2 linked regions of the Lonchura striata genome follow. The protein of the gene in region 2 interacts with the protein of the main gene of each other region in a pairwise test. Links are inferred from orthologs where the notes say so. Each region holds a gene or a part of one and is shown on either strand. Other genes may lie near its edges.

Region 1 (7,186 bases), on a different chromosome or scaffold from region 2:
GCATCAAGTCAAGAGCACGTGGTGTCCAGACAGGGGAGAACAGGGCCAAGCAAGTGGTGCCTCAGCAGGATCTCCTTGGCTTATCCTGTACTGCTGTGGTCCGATGCACCTTACACCCAAACAAACTGTAAATGATGGCCAAAACTAATTACCCAGACAACTCCTGGTACTCAGGCTAGCTTGTTTTACCAAGAGGGTTAATTGCTGCTGAGTTCCAACGATGCGCTGCTAATAAACGTGGGTAAGAACAGCACAGAAGCCAGATGAATGCCAGAGGAACTGATCCCCAGATTCCCCAGTGTGTGGATCTGACACTGTGTATTAGCAGCAGGGAAAATCGTGGGCAGGTCATTAATATTAACATAGATACTTTCTTCTGTTTTCCTGATATCAAGAACAAAAGCAGGATTAGGCTGTATTTTGTTTAACGAGGTGGATGTTGATTTGGGCCTCTGCTGTGTCAGCTCACATTTACCTCAGCAGGGAAGACTGCAGCAGGAGCCAGTGAGGTGCAAAATCTCTCTGGAACGCAATGCGGCAGCAGGACCATTGCACACCCCCTCGCCCCTGACCTTCCCACACAGGCAGGGAGAGCCTGGTGGCTCGGAGGAGGTGCTGCAGATATTACAGGTCACTGAGCTCCTGGAGCACCTGGACTAGGAAGCCTAAAATCTGTGGAGTCTTTGTACTGGCCTTTGACACAGGAGTGAGTATCTTGGAGTAGAATGCAAATCTAGACAGTAAGATGTTAACAAATTTAAGCCTTGCATATCAAAAACATGCACTTATTTTCACTGCAGTTTAGGTACATAAATGCCTTCCTGGATTTTCAAAACTTTTCTTAATACAGCAAAGAAAATAATATTAATTTTCTTCTTCCAACAGTATTTAGCAGATCTCTCCTGATCAAGTGATGTCCTTCGGTGGCTCCACAGACCCTTGTGCTATGTGCTTTCTCTACAGCATTGGAAAGAGAGGGGAGCAGGAGAACAAGGTCTGGTCCAAACTGCTTTGTGATCTGATGAGCAAACAGCTGAAAATACCATTTGACAGGTGAGCTCATACAGCAATTTGTCTGACATGACTTTCCACAGACTGTTAAAACTATTCATCCCAGGCTGGTCCTTTGGTGTTCCCTATTAATGTGCTGATTAAAGAGATTAAATGCCAAGTCAACTGAGCAACTCCCCAGCTAAAAAGAAAAAATGAGCCACTGCATGAGCTGCAATGCCACTGTCCAGAAGCTGCAGAATTCCTTGGTTAAAATGATGTAGGTTCAGGCATGTATGTACCCACAGACATCATGTGCAAAAGACCAGGTACAGACACAAGAACGTGATCACTAGGAACTCCAGGATGCAAGTGGATGAGGCATTAAAAGGGGCAGGAGGAAAGTGTAGGGAATGCTGGGCTCCAGGACAGCTTGGATGGAGACAGAGATCTCTGCAGGCTGCTCTTGGGATATCAGGTGTATTAGGGATGGTGAAAGGTCTTGCTTGGAACTGCCAGACGCAGCTGAGGCCTGAGGGGATCGGAGAGGGGAGAAACAAGGGGTAGAGAGGATGTTCTAGGAGAGGGTGGAAGTTCCAAGAGGGGGGAAGTTCCAAGAGGGGGGAAGAAAGTTCCCAGAGGGTGTCTGGCCCCTCGGAGCCCCTTCTCAGGGGGCTTCAAGGTGGGCTGGAACAAGACTTGGGCCAATGGGGTCACAGACACCTGATGTTTCAGGGGAGGGTTACAGGTGTGGGATGAACAGTACATTTTGGGGGTTGAGATGGAACAGTCCATTTGACTTTTGGACTTATCTGTAGGTAAGGGTATTGTCCAGCCAGTAGGGAGGATTGTTTTCATCCTGGCTGTACTATTGTGAATAATTATATTTATCCGTCCTTCCCAACAGGAAAGGAGTGTAAGACCTTGGAAGGATAAAGCCCATGGGGAGATCTGCAGCATGGCCATGTGTCCTGGTGCAGGAGCACCCTGACCAGCCTGCAGCACTCTGCTCTCAGCTGATAATGGTGCCTGTCTTCCCTTCCAGAACCTACATCAGCTTCTTTGACATCAGTCCTGGCAATGTGGGCTGGAATAACACCACCTTTGCTTGAGGTGCCCTTAGGTGATCACAGCTTATCCCTGAACACTCATCATGGTTTGAGAACTGCAGTTCCAGTCACCTTCTGGCATCTGCCAAATGCTGCTACTCACTGCTGTTTAATATCTTGCCTGCTGCTTAAATAAAAATGCATCAAAAATCTTATGTCTGAAACCTTCTTGTTATGCTGGGAAGAACTGTAGTTGAGATGAAGGGTGTCTTCTCAAAATACTCTCTTAAGAGAAGCTTTTCTTTCAAAAAACTTCAGTCATATATGAATATTCCTTTTGCCTTTGTCCTGTCCATGCTCAAGAGATACATCTCAAGAAGAGATAAATATATCTTGACCTGGTTTCAAGATATATTTAAGTTAATAGATGTGCAAATGTTGCACACGGACCTCCCTTCAAAAGGAGAGATAACATTGTTATCTCTTATTTAAAAGGAATTGATTGCAGTCCAGGTCTTCTTTAGGCCTAACACTACAGGGATATCTAGCTGAGTAGCAGGAAAACTTGTGCTGTGTCTCCCAGGCCTCAGCACAGGCAGAGAGAGTGAGTGGAAAAAACCACTGTTCACTGCTGTGCCCTCCCCTTTTCATCCATTGAACAATTTGTAGTGACAGTGAAGATTAGAGCACAGCTCAGAATGAGGCAGAGGCACAGCAAGCCACAGTAATTCCCAGGGACTGAAGTGGTGAATTAATTATGAAAGGAAAATTTGCATCCAAATATTTATTATTTAAGCCCTTGGTCAGATAAGAACATTTGCTTCCAAAGTAAAATAAAAGATTGAGTAGAGATGTTTCCTGAAATTCTATAGTTAAGTGTATTGTGAGTTTTTTCTGGAAGAGCAAACCTTCTAACACCCGTTTTCTGAACTCTATTGTTAACATCCCATTGTGTCCCTACCACAGCTTTGCTTTGCAGCCACAGACTTTAAATACAGACCTGAACCTCAATCAATAAAAATGCTTTGTTGGGATAACAAGCTGCTTTGGTGAAAATGTCTTTCTTAGTCAGGGAGGCAAAAGAGAATTAAATTGCAGATGTCTCTCCATCGAGTGGCAGCATAGCCAGGGGCTGCCACTCTGGGCTGGCAGGCCACAGGCCAAGCACACCAGTTGTGAAGTTGCTCTCAAGCTTTTCTCCCTGCACAGGTAGAAAACACCACCTCCATGCAACAAACCTGGGAGGCAGGAAGGTGAGAGGAATAAGTAGGACTATGCAACAGCAGGGAGCTGAGGATATCAAAGAGGGGAAACTTAATCAGTTCTTAGTGGCTGTTCTTAAGCACTGTTAATCACTAGAAAAGGAAGTGCTCCAGTCCTCAGCATTATAACCCGTGTCACTCCAATGCACTCCTGTATGACACCATCCCTGACTCCTCATTCAGGGCTACGAGTGTTCACGTCTGTAACATGGATGTGTTCATGTCTGTAACATGGGCAAGCTCTCTAGCAGCACGACTGCTGTGTGTGCAATGTCTGGGCAGAGAGGGCTCCGGGCCAGATCCTATTTAGCCTTCCTGTGAGTCATTTCGTGAGCAGAGCAGCGCTGCCGCCGTCGGGGCAGGCAAGAGCCAGGGTGGGGAGCCATGCCCTGGCAGCCTACGTGCACCACATCACACAGCGCAGCATGCGGCTCGGCTCTGCTGCCTCTCACCTCCCAAAAGGCACGCACCAATTCATTCCGAAGCAAAACGAAACTCACTTCTGCCTTTTTCCAGTAGAAAAATATGATGCGCAAAGTGGGAGGCTGAGGAGCAATAGGTAACTTTTAATTCGACTGAAATACATTAGATAATAATTAATAGGCAGCAAGGGACACGTTTCTGCTTACACCGAGCTAAAGCTGTACACACCATCAAGCAAAACCACTACAAGTGTTACTTTATTTTGAAAAGGAAAAAATTTTCCGAGTCAGGGCAAGCATCCCTTTTTGCAACCGCCAAGCCAAGGCCTATATCCCTCTCTGGGCCGAATCCCGCAGAAATCAGTGGGAGTGCCCCAGAGCTACTATCGCAGCGTTCATACCACGTTATGTATGAGCTGCCCAGCGCTCCCGGACTCCGTTCCAGGAAGGAGCCTGCAACAAACCCTCAAAAAATGTTCAGTAATAGAAACAAAGCCAAGGAATAACGGCGGAGCGGGGGGAACCTCCGGTCGAGAGACAGCCGCGGGAAAAGTCAGCACGGCACTGCGGGGACCGCGGAGCCGGTGCGAGCGTGTGTCCCCGCCCCGCTCCCTCCCCTGCCTGCCGGGCGGGGCCGCTTTACGTCCGGGGCGGCTTGGCGCACTAAAAGCGCCGCTGACGCCTCCCCGCTCCACTGTGTCGGTCCCGCCGCTCGCTTAGGTTTGCATCGCCGGCCCCGCCACCCCCACCGCCGCCACCATGCCCATGTTCGCCATCCACACCAACGTCTGCAAGGACGCCGTGCCCGACAGCCTGTTGGGCGACCTCACCCAGCAGCTGGCCAAGGCCACCGGCAAGCCCGCGCAGGTGAGGGCGGGGAGCGGGGCGACACGTGCGCGGCGGGCCCGGCGGAGAGGCGGCGCGGAGCGGCCCGCGGCCGTCTCCGCTCCCGCGGGCCCGGGGCGGGCGGGCCGCGGCGGCCGCACAGCGCGGCGGCGGCCCCGCTGCTCCGGGGGAAGGAGCTGGTGCCCGTTCCACGCCGCGGCGCCGCGTGTGCCGATGCCCGGCCCCTGGCGGGAGCGGCACCGGGCCGGCGGGGGCGCGGCGCTCACGTAGCCGGGGATGTGCTGCGCCTGTGCTGGCGGTCGCGATTCGAGCGGCGGAGCTGCGCAGTGGCGCGGACGCACCCGGGCAGAGGCTCGGGCAGACCGAGCGCTCCGAGCAGCTCCCGCCGGCTCAGCCGTGGGACACGGCCCCTCCCGGGCCAGACCGCGGCAGCGCCAGGAGCCCGATGTGACGGAATCGCTGCCCGGCTCTCCGGCGGGTTTGATTTGGGATGTGAGCCCTGGCCCGCAGGCAGTTCTGGGGCCTTTATCTCGCTCCGCCCCGCGCGGTGGCGAGGCTGCGGCGGGCAGCAGCGCCTGCCGCGCCGGCGGCTTTGTGCACACACAGCCGCGTTCCTAAAGCTCAGAGCCGGGCCGAGGGTCCCCGCAGCCCCCAGGGCCGTGCCCCCCATGGGGGCTGCCGGGCCTGAGCCTCCCCTGGGGCTGGGAGGGGCGCAGGGGGCAGCACTGAAGAGCTGCCTGACCCCAGTACAACTGCTCTGTGAAGAGTTGGTACCTAAAGCAGATTTCCGTCAGGAGAGGGCATTTCAGACAGCCTGTAACAGAGTGCTTCCCTCCCGCAGTACATAGCTGTGCACATCATACCTGACCAGATGATGTCCTTTGGTGGCTCCACTGATCCCTGCGCGCTCTGCAGCCTCTACAGCATCGGCAAAATAGGAGGGCAGCAGAACAAGACTTACACCAAGATGCTGTGTGATCTGATCTCGAAGCACTTGCATGTATCTGCAGACAGGTAAGGCTGGGACATGGTTTAACCATATTTACCTGGCTTTCTGAAACCGCTTTGAGAAGTCTGTTTAAAAATTTAAAATGCCAGGAATAAATCCATGTGTTTTGGAAAATTCCAAGTGATTACTTGCAGCACTTTCACGTCCACATAAGAATTCAGTGCCTGTCTCTTTCCCTGGAGAGTCCCCTGTTCAGTGGCTTCCTGCTTCTGAGAGTAGGGAAAAACACCACAGCACTGACAAGCTGCCCAGTGTGTCTTTTGCCTCTGAGGTGTGATGTCTTGCCCTCTGGGGAAGCAAGGCTGAAAGCAGGAGCGAGGAGCAGTAACAGGCTGGAGCTGAGACAGAAGCAGAAGGCAGCAGGCTGAGAGCAGCTCCCCTGCAGGCTGCGGAGTTCAGCGGTGCCTGTGCAGCTGTGAAGGATGGGAAGAACCTGGTGCCATCAGGGTTGAAGGGAGACAGCAGAGCCAGGCCTGAGGGCATGCTTAACTCCCAAGGCTGCCAGTCTGTGTGACACATGTGAGGGCCTGCAGGGCTCAGAAACAAAAGGGGCTGATCTCCGGAAATTCTTGACAGGCTGCAAAACAAAATCTGTCTGGTGTCTGGACAGTCCCTGACTGCATAATAATTGTATTTTAAAAAAAGAGGAAAAAGTACAGTTTTGAGGACTGAGAAATACTGAAGCTGTTTGGAGGCTCCACCAGTTTTTTTTGTAAAGATGAAGCTTGATGCTTTTTCAAGCAGAAGAATGGGAAGCACTCTCCCCTGTTATGTTATCCCAGCTTATATAAATGAGTTAATAAGGTCATTGTATTTCTTCCTGTACCTCATCTGCAGGGTCTACATCAACTACTTCGACATGAATGCTGCCAACGTGGGCTGGAACGGCTCCACCTTTGCATAGAGCTTTCCCTTCTGTCTGAAGAGGCTGTTCCTGGAGCTCCCCTCACCCTGCCCTGTAGCAGAGACCGCAGCACAAATGGCCCCATGTTGCACTTTGTGCACTCTCACAGATTGATGTCTCCTTGCTAGTGTGTTTAAATATTGCTGCTTCAACATTCCTCTGTTTTCTCTGTGTAGAAAACAAATAAAGATTTAGAAGTAAGCTATGTGTGGCGTAGGCTTTGGCAGGTTGGGGATGGAGTTGGGCAATTGCTAACGTATCTGTTTCACTCTGATCCTAAAGTAAACAAAAGAAATGTTTTGGGTTTGCCTGTGTTTCTTAGACACAGTATTTCAAGCTATGGTGGTGGTGCCTGGGGCTGGTTCCTGACACCACTCCAGTGATTTTTACCTTGCCTTAGGTAAGGCTGTAGGTGTATTCAGGGCTGCTTGTTGATCTGAAGTTGGTTTTTGGGTTGTGTCTGCAATTGCTGCAGTTCTTGGACCAGCCCTGTGCCTGCTGCTTCAGGGCAGCTTTCCTGTGAAGATGTGCTCACCTGTGTGTGGCCAAACGAGCAAGGAAGGAGTGCTTTTGCTCGCCGAGGGGAAATTACCCAAATTGCTACACTGTGGGTAATACATCGCTATTACTCGCATTGCTACACTGCCTGCTGCAGGCAGCAGGGAAGGCCCTCAGTGCCGCAGGAGCTGTGCAGGGGCCTGCAG
Region 2 (7,273 bases):
CACATTTCCAAGAAAAGACCCAAAATCTTTGATTTCAAAATTGGTTCAGTGATCCCAGTAACCAAAATCTCACCTATAACATGCAGTTGTTCCACCCCTTGGGAAGGGCCAAAAATTACACTACAAAAGGAGGGGTTTGGGGCAAAAAAACCCCAAAACAACAACAACCAACCAAATAAGCAAAAGAGAGAGAGGAAAGTCCCTCTGCTTGCTTTGGATCAGCTGATGGACTGTGTCACTCCTTATCCCTGAAGGGACACTTTCAGGTGAGCTTTGTGCTTCCCAACTGTCTTGGAACAGACCTGGGAATATTCACTTATATCTACTGCTAATAGATCTCTGTAACTATTCCTTCTGTAACAGCATATTTTAACACTCTGTAGCTGGTGCATTTACCACCAGCAATTCAGAATCTGCTTTCCTGTCACTTCAATTACCTGCCCTATTTGCAAATCTGGATCCTGCAAGTGCCTACTGAACTCGGCCAGGCAGCCAGTGTCCAATGGGCTATAATCACAGCTTAGGCCCAGCTGCCCCCAGCTCTTCTGATCTCTGAGGAGCAGCTGGAACCTAAGGGGGTTCATTTCTGCTAGATTTCTATAGCTTTAATCCAACAAAAAAAATTCCTAGTACTGGGATTAAGATCTTTTTGGAAGAGTTTTCCTCCTGTCTCTGTTCCATTTATAATGGCATTCAGAGGGATATAAAAATACTTCCTTGCAGAGGGTAGCATTTATCCACAGAAAACCAAAGGGAACTCAGCATATAGTTCTTCATGGATGTTCATCTTGTTCACATTGATGTTTCTGCAAGGAGGATGCTATCGACTTTTACTATGTGAGGAAAGCTGCGATGACCATGGGAAGCAGCTTGTTCCATTTACAACCCAAGGTCTCATTGTGAGTATGCCAAACTAAATCTCACACTAAAAAGGGCAGAAAACAGACTGGACTATTCTACTTCTTCACACTAATATTACCAAGAGATAATTCCACTGACTGATGGAGATGATGAGTGAAGAAGGACCACAAAGATGTTGAAAGGTTATGCAGGGAGAAAATTACAAGGGCCACAGCCCAAACACAATTTAATCTAACTACTGCTGTAAAAGACAACACAAAACATTTGTACAAATAAATCAGCAAGAAAAGGAAGACTAAAGAGAATCTCCATCCTTCACTTGATGCACAGGCAATGGCATATGGCAATGGATGAATGGATAAGGAAAAGGCAGAAGTACTTTGCCTCAGTCTTCAACAGTAAGACCAGCAGTCCTCATGATACCCAGACAGGGACAGAGAGCAGAAGGAAGCTGCCACAATCCAGGAGGAAACAGTCAGTGACCTGCTACACCACTTGGACACCCACACTTCTACAGGCCCCAAGGGGATCCCACAGCACACAGTGCCACATCCAGTTACTCCTTGAACACTTCCAGGGGTGGTGATGCCTTTCCCTCCGCAGCCTGTTCCAAGACTCAACCACCCTTTTTGTGTTAAATTTCTTCCTTATGTCCAACCGGAACCTTTCCTGGTGCAGCCAGAGGCTATGTCCTCTTGGTCTGCCACAGGTTACCTGAGAGAAGAGATTGATCACCCACAACCTCCTTTCAGGTAGTTGTAGAGGGTGATAAGGTCTTCCCTGAGTCTCCATGCCTCCAGGTTAAATACCCCCACCTCTCATCTGCTCCTCATTACTTTCTAGACCTTTCTCAGCTCTTGTCTTTCTCAGGATACATTCTAACACCTCAATGTCTTTCTTGTCTTGAGAGGTCAGAACTAGACACCGGATTCAAGGTGTGGCCTCACCATTGCTGAGTACAGGAATCACTGTCCTGGTCCTGCTGATCACATTGTTTCTGATACAGGTAAGAATGCCCAGACAAAAAGGGAACTCAAATATAGTTCACAAGAACAAACTTGTTCAGCTTTGGGAATTATAAACCTCCAAGTAGGGTTATAGACCTGGAGAAACAGGGCTTCCAAAGGGGTAGTAGCCACTTTGGATGTCACTGGGAGACTCACTCATGAAACTTTCTGGGACTGGAAGCCTGGAAGAGAATAAAACCAGCAGATGTTTGATAACCTTAGATCTCCTGTTGTATGCTTCTTACTGCCCAGGGATGAAATGAGCTGTATAACTAAACATAGACAATATGCTGATATCAGAAAAGAACCCCAAAAGCTGCCACTACCATGTCCTTGCACATCAAGACACGAAAGAGGCATCAGGACTTGAACATGAAGCTAGCACCAGTTCTCATGATCTCTCTTGGAGCACTTCTACATTATTTATACACAGACCCACAACAGAGCCCAGCATCCTATAAATGGGGTGATGACTTCACTTCAAAGCACAGGAAAGGTTGACAAAAAGGAAGGAAAAAACCCAAAAAACAACCTTGCAACCAGTTTCATAACTATGATTCTGCTTTGGTTTCAGGCATAACTTTAATTTCCTCATTCCTGTCTTGATGACATGCCAGCAGTGTTATCTGCCTAATGCTGCACAGCCTTCCCTCCTGTGCAAAGGCTGAACGAGCTCCTGACAAACATTTCTAGTGGAGACTGCAAAAACAAAGCTGTGATCTTTAAGAAGATCCCATGACTCTTTGTAAGGGGGGGGGGGGGTAAAAAAACCCACCACTGCAAGGACTTTTTTCCTTTTTAGTTCAGTAGTCTTGAATAAAATGGCACAAAATGTAAAAATATAAAATTAATTCATACAACTGAGACTCATGAAAGACTTCTGCTGGAAGGAAACAGAGTCTTTGAGAAGCATCACTCCAAAGTAGGGCTCCCCTGAAGAGCAGACCACTTCTGAGTTGGATCAGGTCTGCCTTTATTTGTCACAGAAATGCAGGACAGCCTGCAGAGTAGAGCCTGACTTGGAAATAGCAAAGTTTTAGTTTTTTGAAAGCTATATTAAAAACAATGGAAAGTGAAATGATTCAGTTATTACAGTTGCAATGCTGAGATGCACAGGCCACTTGATATCTATCCTTTACCATCTTCTAGTAGGGCAGATCAAGATTATCAAGAAAGATTATCAATAAGATAATCAAGAAAGCTCAAGTAACATTTTCACTGGTTTAGGTTATGCGCTTTAATTAAGTACAGATGAGCCCCGATTTCTAAACATTTTCTTTTTTAGAGCATACAAAGCACTATTTGGATACAATTGACTAAGGAGTATTTAGCAGGCCCTTCGGGCCAAGCGGAACGCACTCAGAGGTCCCATGTATTTCGTGTCGCGCTGGCTTTGATGCATTTCTGTCATCTAAACAGAGAGCGCTCTAAAAGCATTACCGCAACCGATGCAAAGAGCTTTCTAAGATCTTCTCAAGGTAACTTTTTCAGATAGGAATTGCACCAAAATAAACGGGGATGGGGAATGGCATACAACACACCAAACCAGAGGCGATGCAGGTTAGTATTGCCAAAGACCGGCTCTCAGCACGCTGCCACAGCCCCCGCACCAGGGCTAGTGCCGAGCCCCTTTTAGCCGCGGGGCGGCCGGGAACGGCGGGCGGGCCGGCTGCTTCTTCACGCACCCCCAGCCGCAGCCGCCTGCCCCAAACACTCGGTTCTCCCCTTTCTCCTCCAGGGAACACCACTCCGCAGCGCTTTCTCCGCTCCTCCCCTCCGCCCGGCCGGGCCCAGCGCAGCGCCGCCCGCCAGGCCGCGCTCACCCCACCCCCCCCGCACTCACGGCCTCCTCGGCCCTCCGGGCGCCCCTGGACACCGCGGCCCTGGCGGACCCGGAGCGCGTCCATACGCGGTGGCTTCTGAGCGCCGGGGGCTCCAGCGAAATGAACTCGGAGCTGGACTCCAGGAGGTCGAAGGGGGGCCGGCGACAGCGGCTGTCGCGGGCAGCCATGCGGGGCGGGCAGGCAGCGCTGCTCCGCAGCACCACCATGGCGGGGGGAACGGGACGCGCCCCGCGCCCGCCGCCGCGCGCGCCGCCCGGATCCCTCCGCCGCGCTCCCTCCCGCCCGCTCCGCCTGCGGCGCCGCTCCCGCCCGCGCGGCGGAAGGGCACGCGGCGCACTGCGGCCGCGCGTTTGGCGCCCAAAACTCGGAGCGCTGCGGCGCGGGGCGGGGCTGGCCCGGCTCGTCCCACTCCGCTCCGCCCCGCCCGAGGGTCCCTGCGCCGCCGGCCGCCCCTCCGGCTGTACCTGCGAAGTGCCCGCGCCCAGCCGGGATGGCTGCGGTTTTCTCGGGAATGGCGTAGCGGCTGCCTCCACCGGGCCCAGCGCTTCCTGCTTCGCCCTCAGCCCCGCTCAGAGCAGCCATGGCGCGGCCCGAGGCTGGTTATGAGGCGGCGGTGCCGCCCCGCCCCGCCTGCACCTACAGCAGCTGCTACTGGTAAGGGAGGCGGGGGCGGCTGAGCCGGTGCCCCTCGCACGGCCGCGGGGCGCGGGACAGCCCGGGGCGCCGGGTCAGCCCGGGGCGCCGGCACAGCCCGGGCCGCCGGGACAGCCCGGGGCGCCGGGTCAGCCCGGGGCGCCGGGTCAGCCCGGGGCGCCGGCACAGCCCGGGCCGCCGGGACAGCCCGGGGCGCCGGGTCAGCCCGGGGCGCGGGACAGCCCGGGCCGCCGGGACAGCCCGGGGCGCCGGGTCAGCCCGGGGCGCCGGCACAGCCCGGGCCGCCGGGACAGCCCGGGGCGCCGGGACAGCCCGGGCCGCCGGGACAGCCCGGGGCGCCGGGACAGCCCGGGCCGCCGGGACAGCCCGGGGCGCCGGGACAGCCCGGGCCGCCGGGACAGCCCGGGGCGCCGGGACAGCCCGGGCCGCCGGGACAGCCCGGGGCGCCGGGACAGCCCGGGCCGCCGGCGGGAGCGGCGCGGCTCTGGGCTGAGCACGCTCAGGGCTCGTTTCTCGGCACGAAAAATGCAGTTGGAGGAAAACAAAATCAACGACCGGTTATTGTGTTTTGCAGCGAAGAAAACGTTTGGAAGCTTTGTGACTACATCAGGAGTCAGGATCGGTACCCTTTAGAAGAATTTTATGCTGTTTTCATATCCAATGATAAGAGGATGGTGAGTCAAGGGGATGCGATCAGAGCCAGCTAGGGAAAAGCCCGGGCCTTCCGACCGCAGCCCGGTGCAGGTGAGAATGGTCCCAGCCCAGTGTTGGGAAGTGAGCCTTTAGCCCAGCCTGTAGGTGAGATACACCCCAAACCTGTTTTGTAGCTCACTTTGCCTCGGAGGTGTGCCAACCACACCGCCTGAGATCTTTTAATTATGCACTGCATTCAGGGCAGTAGAATGAGGCATGGTGACCCTGTGAGCTGTGGGAGTAATTCTGTTTGTAATCTGTCAATATAGGAGAATAGTTATCTTTATAAAATCATAGAACCATTAATAACCATAAGGTTGGCTAAGACCATCAAGTCCAACTGTTAATCTAGCACTGCTGTGTTCATCACTAAACTATATCCTCAAGTCTTTTGGATGTTTCCAGGGATGGTGATTCCATCACACTTCTTTTTAATGTGGTCCAGAATAGTATCTCCAACTTCATGCTCCTGAGAGAGAAACTAGAAAAAATTTCTTACTGCAATACAAATGTAAGCTGAAGAAATTGATAGCTTAGCAAAGAACTAGCCAGTTTGCCTGAAAGGAATCTGTATTAATCTGAAAGATTTTATTCACTTCAGGTTCATTTATAACTTTCAGATTCCACTCTGGAAGCAGAAATCTGGACATGGAGATGAGCCTGTTGTCTGGGTAAGACATTCATTACTCTCAAAAATTTTGAGTGTGTGTCTCTGTAGTTGATAGCTGCAGGATCACACATGGGCATGGAACAATCTGTTCCATCTGAACATAAAGGAACACTTTCTACTCCGAGGGTGATGGAGCATTGGAGCAGGATGCTCAGAGGGGTTGTGGAGTCTCCATGCTTGGATATTTTTAGAAGCTATCCAGACACAGTCCTGGGCAGTTTGCTTTAGGAGAGTGTCATTGAGCAGCAGGTTGATGTCCTTAAGTCCCTTCCAACTTCACACATAGCATTGTTTTGTACTAATATTTATAATTATTTTACAACAGATTTATAAATAGCCTAAATCTGGTGCTCCTTTGCACCCTCCTTCATAAATTAATAGCAGGACAATCAGTAAAACCTATAGGTGACAGATCTTAATTATAGTAAGAATGCATAATAGATTTGTGTAAATTATTATCTGGGTATTGAGGCTGCCAGCTCTGTGGTATTGTAGGTAGATGACTCTACTTGTAAGAAGTAGATGGATGAACATATTTATGTAGGCCTGCCAGATGATAGAAGAGTGTAAGTTATATGTGTTTTTAGGTGTCAGCAGTGAAACTGACCCATAAACAGTGGCTTTGAAGTGTCATTTGATCAGTCAATGTAGTTCAGTAATTGCTGATGCAGAATTCCTTGGTATCCTTGGTATCCTTATATAGTCCTTTCAGTTATCTGGTACAGAAAAAACTATTTCTTGTGGCAATTTCTGTTTCTGAAGTTCTGCAGAGTAATCTGCAAACTTGTGAAGTTTTCTGATTTCTGAATCATTCACTTTCTTCCAAAATATTGGTAGCTTTCCAGTACCAAAAAAAAAACAAAAACGATTTGGTTTAAAAAGAGATCCAAGTGCTACAGAGAAGACCTAAAAGGGAATAGCAGAGTCAGGAAACACCATGGCAGAATGTGGATTTCTCGTAAAAATTCAAGCATTCAAAGGTCTTTTAACTTTGACATTTCAATGAATGATAGGTTGTGTAAAACTTGTAAACTAATTTTTCTTATACTCTCTAATGGGTTATTCTAAATATTGTTGAATACAGTTGTGTATATATATACTGGTCTGGTGAAGCAGATTGCCCAAATCTTTTTAATTTAAATTTCTTTGTGGTTTTAATATTGAGAGTGTCAAAAGACAGTGCTCAACCCTTTTTGTGAGTGGATTAAATGTAAAGTAAGTTGTTAGGGGCTACCTTCAATTTAATTTTGGAAAATGGCAGTGCACATACCTGACCTATAATGTAACTGCAGTGTCCTCAAATCTCCACCTGTATTTCTTACAAGTTAAGAAGTCAAAACTGCACTGAATAACCTAAAAGTCTTGATAAAATAGTTGCATTGAAAAAGTGATGTAGTACCCACAGATAATTTCCTGTAGCAGCTCTTGAAGCTGGGAAAAAATGTCTTACCCCTGTGGTCCTCCTGATGCGAGCTGTTCGCTGGTTTTTCAGTGGTGTGCTGGTTTTTCAGGTGCTTCTGGCAGCTGAACACTCGACACTCAAA

Evidence for each region.
Region 1: the proteins of NTAQ1 (region 2) and MIF interact in binary tests that used the Homo sapiens proteins (3 or more experiments, as listed by UniProt). The two-hybrid records come from large-scale screens. The link is inferred for Lonchura striata from reciprocal best matches to the Homo sapiens genes NTAQ1 and MIF.

Annotation. Positions count from the first base shown.
Region 1 is NC_134620.1:3,542,687-3,549,872, forward strand, and holds MIF (macrophage migration inhibitory factor), read left to right. Parts: upstream 1-4,353; 5' UTR 4,354-4,482; coding exon 4,483-4,590; intron 4,591-5,410; coding exon 5,411-5,583; intron 5,584-6,415; coding exon 6,416-6,482; 3' UTR 6,483-6,683; downstream 6,684-7,186.
Region 2 is NC_134603.1:12,563,051-12,570,323, reverse strand, and holds the start of NTAQ1 (protein N-terminal glutamine amidohydrolase), read left to right. Parts: upstream 1-4,259; 5' UTR 4,260-4,292; coding exon 4,293-4,366; intron 4,367-4,940; coding exon 4,941-5,040; intron 5,041-5,679; coding exon 5,680-5,730; intron 5,731-7,273. Other genes in the region: ATAD2 (ATPase family AAA domain-containing protein 2), read right to left, coding at 3,712-3,918. UniProt on the Homo sapiens protein: Mediates the side-chain deamidation of N-terminal glutamine residues to glutamate, an important step in N-end rule pathway of protein degradation.